3 linked regions of the Sus scrofa genome follow. The protein of the gene in region 1 interacts with the protein of each later gene in a biochemical or structural test. Links are inferred from orthologs where the notes say so. Each region holds a gene or a part of one and is shown on either strand. Other genes may lie near its edges.

What was found.
Region 2: the proteins of DHX9 (region 1) and AKAP8L form a complex in vitro, tested with the Homo sapiens proteins (2 studies listed by BioGRID). The link is inferred for Sus scrofa from reciprocal best matches to the Homo sapiens genes DHX9 and AKAP8L.
Region 3: the proteins of DHX9 (region 1) and EIF2AK2 form a complex in vitro, tested with the Homo sapiens proteins (2 studies listed by BioGRID, with this or other methods). The link is inferred for Sus scrofa from reciprocal best matches to the Homo sapiens genes DHX9 and EIF2AK2.

What each region holds. Positions count from the first base shown.
Region 1 is NC_010451.4:124,172,792-124,176,443, forward strand, and holds part of DHX9 (ATP-dependent RNA helicase A), read left to right. Parts: intron 1-708; coding exon 709-861; intron 862-2,780; coding exon 2,781-2,941; intron 2,942-3,652. UniProt on the Homo sapiens protein: Multifunctional ATP-dependent nucleic acid helicase that unwinds DNA and RNA in a 3' to 5' direction and that plays important roles in many processes, such as DNA replication, transcriptional activation, post-transcriptional RNA regulation, mRNA translation and RNA-mediated gene silencing.
Region 2 is NC_010444.4:62,194,623-62,198,274, reverse strand, and holds part of AKAP8L (A-kinase anchor protein 8-like), read right to left. Parts: intron 1,827-3,652; coding exon 1,794-1,826; intron 1,516-1,793; coding exon 1,275-1,515; intron 72-1,274; coding exon 1-71. UniProt on the Homo sapiens protein: Could play a role in constitutive transport element (CTE)-mediated gene expression by association with DHX9. Increases CTE-dependent nuclear unspliced mRNA export.
Region 3 is NC_010445.4:103,071,923-103,075,574, reverse strand, and holds part of EIF2AK2 (interferon-induced, double-stranded RNA-activated protein kinase), read right to left. Parts: intron 2,876-3,652; coding exon 2,759-2,875; intron 622-2,758; coding exon 441-621; intron 1-440.

The sequences.
Region 1 (3,652 bases):
AAAGACTTTAAGACCTCATGTGTGGTATAAGATAGCCTGGGAAATACGCAGGGAGGCATTGTGTATAGATAAAGAATTATATGGTAATCAATACACAGAGGACAAAAATGTCAAAACTTGGTTCTATCTCGCCACCTTATGCCCCGTGTCTTCTCTGTATAGTGCCTAAGCTTGTCCTGGCAATTGAAAAATCTTTGCCCGTGCCTACTTTAGGGAATAGTGAATAGCACACAGCTCTTTCTGTGCCAATCCCAGTCGTTTGGTGCCAGCTGCCTGTGTGTAACACAGATTTTGGGGTTGCTTAGCGGGGTAGAAGAACCACGCCTTCACGATTTGGTGACGTCATCTGAAGTGCCACATATTCTCGTTTAGCTTCATAGATTCCCTGAGAGTTAAGCTAAATTCTGGAATAGAGTTGGCTTGAGTAATTACCACATGCTTAGGTGTCTGTGCCAGATTCTGTTTAAATGCTATACAGTCATTAATTCACTTAATGATTATAAATACACTATGAGGTGTAGGTAGTAGTTATTATACACACTTTCAGATGAGGAAAATGAGGCACAGAAACATGAGTAACTTGGTTGAGGTCATCTAGCTGGTAAGTGGCACGCTTTGTAGGTCTTAGTCTTTCACGTAGTGGAAATATGGTAGTTATGTGTTGATAGTGTATGTGAGTTTTACAATTAACCACTCTTTCCTAATTAGGCAAAAAGTGAAGCTGTTCACTGCTCACAACAACATGACCAATTATGCTACAGTGTGGGCATCCAAAACAAACCTTGAGCAGCGGAAAGGACGAGCTGGTCGTGTACGGCCTGGGTTCTGCTTTCACCTCTGCAGCCGAGCTCGTTTTGACAGGTACGAGCAATTCTGGAATAAAGAGTGAATTTTTTTTTTTTTTAACCTTTTACAAACAAACCTCCCTTCCTCACACTCCTTTGCCCTGCCATAAACTTCCTGAACTTAAGTGAATTGGAGGAAACTTAGCTTTCTCCAATCACTTAGCAAGATTGTGTTGAGAATGTAAAGAAATAAGAAATTATCAATGGTGGCATGTTTGATACTAGTTAACTATTTACTAATAACCTTTTAAAAGCATGATACATGTTTTCCCCGTTAAAAAGGGGGGGAAAGGATATATGGGCATAATTCTGGCACCACATAGCTTTACCACTTTGGGATTACTGATACTTATGAATTGGTTAACCATCTGAAAGATACATTAAAATAACAGTACTTTTGTATTTATAGAATTATACCACACCCCCACACCCACTGTTAGCACATCACCTCTCACATGATCCTCATGTGTCTGAGAAACAGAGGGCATTATTTAGGTAAGGAAAGCAAAGCTTAAGGAGCTTAGCCACTAATCCAGGACTGAAACCCAAGCCTGTTAATACCTTGTCCATCTCCACAGAGCCTTTGGGGGGAAGTTTTTGGATGAGACCAATTAGTTTAAAAAATCCTTAACTTTCTGAATTACAGATTTAAGGTATATATTTAGTTATATGTTTCTTGAAACCCATGTCGTATACTTAAGTTTTAACCAGTTGGTTATAGAGATAGTGTTAGGGTGTATTTGAGAGAGAGAGAGAGACTAATTTAGGTGGCCAGATGTATATAATACACTGAGGAAAAATCAAAGCTGGTTTGATTTGTTTTTATACTGATAACATATGGCTCTCTAGTAATTAATTGTAAATGTAGGTTTATTTGAGTGTCCTAAGTTAAGGCAGGAGACTGGCTGTAACATTTGGAAGATACCTGATTCTTTTTAAAGGTTGAATTGTCCTTTGAAGAAACAAGTTCTGTACTCTTAACATCTTAATGTAAAACCACCTACCAACTAGCAACACCATGAATAGATCTGTAAGGGATTTTTGTTCTTTTCTCCATAGGATGACGAATAGATAATGCCTATCTGTGTTTTTATAAACTTGATTTAAGCTAATCTAAGTCTTGCTAGCAGTGTTGGAATCCACCTCTAAATGGCTCCCATGAACCTTCGTTATGTAAATAATACATGCAGAATCATCCTGAGACTTGGATTTTAATATTTGTGCCAACTGTATCACATAACCATAAACATTTACACTCTTTAAGCCTTTGTTTCCCTATTCTACAAAAAAAAAAAATCTCTTTCCTCTTTTGAGAAAGGAAGATAGTGAAATTCTAACCACATGGGGTTTGTTTGAGAATGGAGTCAGTTATATAAAATGCTGAGAAAAAAGCTTGGCACGTATTAAGCTCTCAGTAAACATTAGCTATTATCATTGTTAATTTATATTAATAGTTTTCATTGTTAATATTTTAAAGGGTTAGATAATGTGTAAGATCTTTGCAGTGGTACTAAATTTACCTGAATGAGGAAGTGGGGGAAGAGGTTACAGGGAAATGTTAGTATGAGCTTGTATCTCCCATAAAAGGTCTTGCTACCATTTTTAACTCAAGTTTGTCAGGAGGCAGGACCTGAAGAAGCCCTAGATGGGGGTAATAACATGAGGGATTTGGGGTAATTTTTCATCCTCCTTCATTTCTCAGCTGAAAATACCTCAAGCTGTAAGTGAAGTCATAAGCCACTACTCAGTTAAGGTCTTGTCTAGAGAGCCTTTGTAGGAAATATGCAATGTTCTTTGGTGATTTAAAAGGATAAGGGAGGGGCAATTTCATATCCCTGATCATCTCTACAAAATTTGAGTGTACACAAGAGAAGATGGTTGTTTTACACTTAACTTTTTTTCTTTTTCTCTTTTTTTTTTTCAACTTTTTCTTAGACTCGAGACCCACATGACACCAGAGATGTTCCGAACACCATTGCATGAAATTGCTTTGAGCATAAAACTTCTGCGTCTGGGAGGAATTGGCCAGTTTCTGGCCAAGGCAATTGAACCTCCACCTTTGGATGCTGTGATTGAAGCGGAGCACACACTTAGAGGTACCTGCAAATACAGACCTGCCTAATACTTACCAGTTATATCATCTGTCTTATCCTGACAAATAACACTTAACAAATGAGTCAAGAAGAGGATACAGTCCACAGGGCTATGATAATAAGGTTTTCAATGTTGCTTAATGTACATGGTATGGTCAGAATATAAAATGAGCAACATAAATGAAGAAAGAGATAATGTGAATCTTATTTGGGGGGGGGAAATGGAGAAAAGACAGGTGTTCTCTCGTAACCAGTATTTTATGGATCAGAATATGAATTACTTATGATACCCAGTGTCTTATGTACATCTCTTAGAACATCTGTTTATGTTTTCTGATCACTTATGGAAGCACTGTAGTATAGTAGAAAATAAGAGCATCGGAGCCAACGAAGAACCTGAATTTGAATTTTGACTCTTGTGCTCATCTGCTTTGAGACTTTTATTCTCCAAATTTCATTTCTTTCTGAAAATTATCAACGGATGTTATCAGACTTATAGCATCTACCTACTTAGGCCACTGTTATACTTATTTCTGTGATTATAGACTTCTCATGGACTGTACTCAGCTTTACACCCAATAGGATTTAATTCTAGTACCTTTTTCATGTTAGGTGTTCTTGAATTTGGTTTTTTTAGTGAAGAGAATTGTTGGCCACAGGCGTGGCGCTGGCAGTTGGCTTGACAATTGATGACAACTTCAGTGCAGTATCCAA
Region 2 (3,652 bases), on another chromosome or scaffold:
CATAGCCTGACCGGTACAGATCACGCTCGCTCAGGACAGCCCTTGAGTCACAGGCCTCGTAGGAATCATATCTGCAGAGGCAGGTGGCAAGCATCAGGGACGATCTCAGGTCCCATCATCCTATTACTGCCTCTGCCTTCCCCTAAACCTCGTTGTCCTGGGGATAGGAAGACCCACTCCAACACCCATCCTGTCAGAAAGGATCAATGTTCAGATATGCAAATTAAAAGGTCTCTGAGGAACAGAGTTCTAGAAGCCAGAAAGGGCTCTCGGCCAGTGTCCCCAAGCCTGCATGAGGCCACACACCAGCTTGAAGACCCTAAGGGCAAGGGGTAGGCTGGGTAGGCACGTCCCACTCCTCAACACTTTTTGCTTGCTACAGAGCCCATGCACGCAAAAGTCCCCTTGGCACTCTTTGCCCCCTAGTGGTCCTGGGGCCTCACTTGGCCCCACCAGTGCCTGGCCAGGTCCCTCCTTACTCTCTGCTCTTCCCTGTCAGTTGGAGCCATGAGGTTGCTCCCCTCATGGCTGTGCCAAGAGATGCCCTCTTCACTGAAACCTCTCACTAGGGCACAAGAACGCCTGGGCCAGCAGCAGTTTGGACAATGACAAATGCCTACAGCATGATGCTGTGGGGCAGGGCAGATCTGAGTGGGAGGCCCATCTCCACTATTTACTCCTGGGTACCTTTGGGCAAGAGGTGTGACCTGCCCACACTTTACTTTCCCCATCTGCATAGTGAGGACATCAACAGTTCCTCACAGGAACACTTCTGATGTTCAACAAGTACACATTTATAAGTCACCAAAGGGTACCCTTATATGGGATGGTCCAGCTCACTATGGTCAGCCCCAAAGGTTCACTCCAACCTTTACACTCAACCCAATCTGTCCTGCCCTGACAGAAGGCAGGATGCAAAGTATCTCGAGAGCTTCAAATGGTTGTCTCCAGAGGGAGGAGCCATTTAACAATGTTCCTGAGAAGAGTGAAATGGGAGGATTCAGTGAAACCAGCCCAGTCTGGGCTTGTTTCTCCCTCTATAAGCTGGAGGAGAGGCTCACCACTGGGCAATGCAGGAGAATGGAGGGAGAAGAGGACACAGGCCAGAGAAGGGAAGTGCCTTGGACCCCAAGCAGTCTCTGGGAAACCCCAGCAGCAGAGCAAAGAAAAAAGTAGACACAAGAGATAGTTCAGAAGAGGAAGACACCAGGGAACAAGAGACAGGAGGTGACCCGGCAGAGCCTCAACCCCTAGGCAGGTAGATGCCCACTCACCTTTCTCCACCTGAGCTGTACACGCCTCCTTGTATCACATCTGTCTCCAAGTGCGGAACCATATCTAAGCGCTGGTTAATTCTGGACAAAACGGAATCGGCACTGGCACTACCCATGGCACTAGGGTTTGCATTTGTGTCAGAGCTAGGCATTTCCCAAGAGTTTGAAGTGGCCATACCATACCCATAGTTGGTGGTGTTATCCTGGCCATAGCCATAGCCATAACCATAGTTCTCGTAGCCTGCAATGAGGGGGACAGAAAGAGAGACAGACAAGATGGAGGGGGCGAGGAGACAGAGAAACAAACACAAGAGACAGGACATTTTTGGTCAGAGACAAGCTGGGTGGGCCATCGCCATTCTGAAAAGGCCTCCTGTGAAGGAATTGCTGGCCCCAGTGCACCCAGGACCCCCAAAGACAACCCCCACCCTGCAACTTTAACTAGGCTGGGCAGTGGCAGAAACACTCAATCAGTTTAATCCCAAGGAAAAGGAGAGTGATTATGGGAATGATACTTGCCTCTGTTTGTCCCAGAGTTCCAAGTTCCATATCCTATAAAAAGTAAAAGAGAAATTACATCTATAATTGCTTATAAATGCAACAAGAATTCAATTCAGACACAAAGACAATGATTCCCAGCACCTGACTGGTTAGAGACTAAGCCTCGCCTAACTAAGAAGCCTTGAGCTTGCGCTACATAAATGAGCCAGGCCACTTGTTGCCCTGGTGCCTGACTTTGCATGGCTCTGACACTCTGCTATTTATGAACCCCCCATTCCCAGCATTCTCAGCTAAGGAATTTGGCGCCTATACTCTTTCTTTGAAGAGCCTAAATTGGAAGATTATTCCTGCTCCCAGCTAAGTACCAATCTGAGGAAGAGGAGAGCAGTTTCCAATGCCTCATACACTCTATGCTGTACAAGAAGCTCAGCACAGAGCTCATACCCACTCAAACTCTGTCAATCAAATCACCCAACAAAGTTATCTGGAGCAGAGAAACTGACTGCCCTAGTCCCACAAATGTTTAACTTAATAGGAAGAACCAGGAGTTCCTTTGTGGCATATAGGTTAAGGATCCTGTATTGTCACTGCAGTGGCTTGAGTCATTCCTGTGGTGCAGGTTCAATTCCTGACCAGGGAACTTCCACATGCCACAAGCACAGCTGGGGGAGGGGGGGGAATCCAAAAACAGAAACAAAAAATCCCCAAAACATGGAGAAACACCACCAAGCCCGTGAACTGTGTGAGTGTGCTTGGAACACATAAGTAGAGGGAAAGACAAGATACCACTCTCAGCTTGAAAAAAGCTGTTAAGAGAACAATCAGGATTATAAACTAAATATGTTTTGAATTTTATCAGACACATAAGGAAAATTCATTCCTTCAGAAACATAAAGCCACTGAAAACTAACAAACTGCAAAAAAACAAGTGGGAACTCTGAGTCAAGCAGACATGATTCTTCCAGAAGGAGTCCATAAGAACAGGTCACCACCTTCCCAGTGTCTGATGGGACCCCCAGAGTCATCTACTCCACACTGTTCCTGCCCTGCAGACAGATAGGCCATGCTAATCCTAGGGCAGGGACCAAACCTCAGTGAGATGGCAGTGAGATGAAAAATAGAATCCAGCCACAGGAAAGCAAGAGTTCATACACTGAGAATATGAACCAGAGCAAATGGGGATGGGGACAGTGGGTCAGTCAAGGTTCTACACTCAAGTTCCTCCTCAATCAGGTACACAAATGAATGGAGAGGCATTGGAAAACAGCGAGGAACTTTGGTCACTATTCTAATGAACCACAGGCATGCTAGAGCTCACAAAGCAAAAATCTTCTTCAGCTGTGGAAACCAAAAGCAGGGGCTTCTTATTCCTTTATTCGACAATTACCATCCTCAGAGCAAACAGAACAAAGTGTGGCAGTCCTGGGCACTCCTCAGACCCAGAGCACTGCTATTAAAGGAGGCAGGAAATAAGAGAGCAGCAAGGGCTGGAAATCACATAAGAAGGGAGTGGTATACGAAGCTTTTCTTTCTTTTTTGGGGGGGTCCTTTTTATTTTGTTTTGTTTTTGTCTTTTTAAGGCCTCACCTGCAGCATATGGAAGTTCCCAGGCTAGGGGTTGAATCGGAGCAATAGCTGCTGGCCTACAACACAGCCACAGAAACACCAGATCCAAGCTGCATCTCTGACCTACACCACAGCTCACGGCAACACTAAATCCTTAACACACTGAGCAAGGCCAGGGATGGAACCTGCATCCTCATGGATACTAGTCAGATTCTTTTCTGCTGAGCCACAACAGGAACCGCTTTTTTTTTTTTTTTTTAATGGCTGTACCCTTGGCCTGTGGAAGTTCCCAGGCCAGAGACTGAATCTGA
Region 3 (3,652 bases), on another chromosome or scaffold:
GAGTAAAGACTGAAAACTTGGAGAACCATGTTCCCAAAGCCCCCGTCACTGGAGTCGCTTGTGCTGCTCAGACGAACCTGAGTAGCAGTAGAGGCAGGGACAGAGCAGCCAACAGGCTGTGCCAGCCACAGTAATTATCTGTACGGAAATATTTAGTATATTAAAGCTATAAGTGTTTACAACTAGGGTGTAACTATCAGCCAGTACAAAAAATAGGACTAGAAGTGAATGAGCTTCTTTCTATAGAGCTCACTGTCCCAAAAAGTTTACTAGCCCTGGAGACCTTCTGAGTGGTTCTACAGACTGGTATTTGCGGCAAGTTCTAGATCTATTCCAACCTCAGAGGATCAGAGATGTTATTTTCTCATGACTGCCAATCAATTCCAAAACAGACTTTTAAATTAATTATCAATTCCTAACAAAGGACATTTTCCGCTTACCTTAAGGTCTCTATGAATTAACTGTTTTGAATGTATATAATGCACTCCTGTTGTTATTTGTTCAAAGAATTCCAAAGCCAAACATTTATCTGGTTCCTTGTTTCTTTGGCTGTCAATCCATTGTTCCAATGTCCCTTTATCACAGTATTCCATTTGGATGAAAAGGCACCTTGTCTTTGATCTGGGTATATAGTTCACAGGATGTTAGATTTAGCAATAAAAATAAATATATAAAAAATACACTTAAAAATACATTTTTAGGCGTTCTCTTGTGGTACAGTACGTTAAGGATCCAGCACTGCCACTGAAGCAGCTTGGGTTGCTACTGTGGCAAAGGTTCAATTCCTGGCCTGGAAGTTCAATCCCTGGAACTTCCACATACTGTGAGTGAGGCACAAAAAAAAAAAAAAAAAAAAAAAAAAAAAAAAAAAATTGTTGGAGATCCCATTGTGGCTCAGCGGAAACGAACCTGACTAGTATCCATGAGGATGTGGGTTCGATCCCTGGCTCTGCTCCGTGGATTAAGGATCCGGTGCTGCCATGAGCTGTGGAGCAGGTCATAAACAAGGCGTGGATCTGGTATTGCTGTGGCTATGGCGTAGGCGGACAGCTGCAGCTCTGATTCTACCCGTAGCCTGGGGACTTCCATATGTCTCGGGAGCAGCCATAAAAAGACAGAAAAAAAAATGTTAGGAACTTTATCTTCTTAAAAATACCAAACAGGTCTCAAAACAGAAATCTAACAATAATAGATTTGAATCAAAACATAATAAGCCATTCTTTGTTTAAATCGTAAGTTCCCAGACATCCAAAGATTTCTTTAGCTAAGCCCATTCTTTAAAGCTGAAGGACCATGATTATCTTTGCTAATAGATAGGAATAGGAGCATAAATACAATGGAACTGCAGAAAACCAAATTTCATTATTATATACAGTAATTTCAAAACATTTTAATTCACCATTGGTCTACTGAACATCTCTTTTGTGAAAGGCACAGAACAGGCACCTCAAGATAAGAAATGAATTAGACACTATTCTTGCTGTCATGAGGATGACAGGAGACAGATAAAGGAAAAATAAACCTAAAATAACAGTTCAAGCATAGGAATCCTAACAGAAGTGCCAACAGATTGCCATGAGATATAACAGAGAGGACTGACTTTGCTAATCATGCAGTTTTTTTTTTTTTTCCTCTGAACTAAGCTGGCCTCAATATTAATTTAACTTCTTTGAGCATATATTGACTAGAATATAGAAAAGAGGGAGCCAGTAATTTGCCAAAAGCTGAAGAAGTCTGTATGCTGACAGCACTCCTGAAACCAATGATAAAGGTCTCAATTACATGGGGTGGAGACAGGGCTGGAGTCAGGAGCCTGTGAATGAACAGGCCCAGAGTGGCCTCAGGACTGCACTGAAAGGACTGTCCCCTGGAAACGCTGGTGACCTTCACAGGGAGGTGCCAGCTCTTTAAAACCCTTTAGCTCTTTTGCATTGACTCACCTCAGACAAAACAGGAGTATTGCAAGGTGGGGTGCCCCCCATCACAGCTCAAGGTCCCCAATTCTTTTCACTCCTCACCACCCCACTATAAGTGGTGCAGCTGCATTTGAAAGACACCCCCTGGGATGTCTTCCTATTGCAGCTCAGCAGGTTAAGAACATGACATAGCCGCTGGCCTCACTCAGCGAGTTAAGAACCAGCACTGCCCCCAAGCTACTACGCATAAGTAGCAGATGTGGCTCTGATCAGGTGATGCTATGGCTGGCAGCTGAGGCTCCTTACCTGGGAACTTCCATATGCTGCAGGTATGGCCATAAAAAGAAGAAAAAGAAAAAAAAAAAAAAGAGACCCCTGGCTGCACCCCGCCAATCAAGTGAAGGGGACAACAGCAGAAGAGGGAGCCTCCAATTGCAGCATGTATAGCATGAACAGCACATTCAAACCTTCAGGAGTCTGTATTTATGGCCATGTCTGCTTTTATGGCTGGCAGTGACTGAAGTCAGGCACATGAGCAAGCCCTCACCTTAAACAAGGGAGTAGGAAAGCTAAACCTGAGATTTCTGAAAACAGCTGAGGACAACTGAAAAACTTTTTTTTTTTAAAGGAAGCTTGGAGCAACGAGATGAGCAAGGAAAAGATTATTAAGCAGGCAATGAAGAGTCTGCTTAACTGCAGATCAAGTCAAAATAGTGCCTCAAAGGATGTTTCTAGTTGTGATTGTTAAATGTAAGAATTAATGGCCATATGTGGTGACCCACAAACAGTAAAGGACAGTTTCTTCCATCCTATTATAGTTATGGGCATCTCTTTTTAGTTACCTTAAAGTATTCATGCTTTGCTCAGGATCATAATCATTCCCATCCCAGCAACCGTAGTAGAGAACAATATTTGGATGTTTAAGCGTTGCCAAAGCTTTCACTTCACGCTCTACCTTCCTGGTTAAAGAAACAGAGAACATACCTGGGTCAGTATACATCTTTGATAACAACAAAAAAACATCTCTACCAACAGGAGACAACTACCTGCATTTCCTTCAAACGGCTGCCATGGTTCACATACTCTGAGTTTTAGAATGGAAGCCAGGAATACTCAAAAGGAAAAAGTGAACACAGAAAAAGCACAGCTGATCTCACTCTCAGCAATAAAAGAAAAAGCAGGAGTTCCCGTCGTGGCGCAGTGGAAATGAATCCGACTAGGGACCATGAGGTTGCAGGTTTGATCCCTGGCCTCGCTCAGTGTGTTAAGGATCTGAGTTCCTGTGAGCTGTGGTGCAGGTCGCAGATGCGGCTCAGATCCCGTGTTGCTGTGGCTTTGGCGTAGGCCAGCGGCTGTAGCTCTGATTAGACCCCTAGCTTAGAAACCTCCATATGCTTCAGGTGTGGCCCTAAAAAGACAAAAAAGACCAAAAAAAAAAAAAAAAAAAAAGTGAGAGAAAAGAAAAAGCAATGACAAATTATTCCAAACATTAGGTGATTTAAAAGTCATTTGTAGTAGTCTGTGAACTGCCAGTGATTTTTTTTTTTTTCTGGAGCTAACTCATCTATTACGTTTTGTTTAGACTTATGTTAACATCACGTTGGATTTCATAAGCAAACCCCATTTGGGTATTAAGAGCAGATAATCTGAGCAGCACAAAGGACCCAATTCAGAATTTTCAACGTATGGCAAAAATACACAAAGGGGGTGATCTATGCAGAAAAAATGAAACTTCA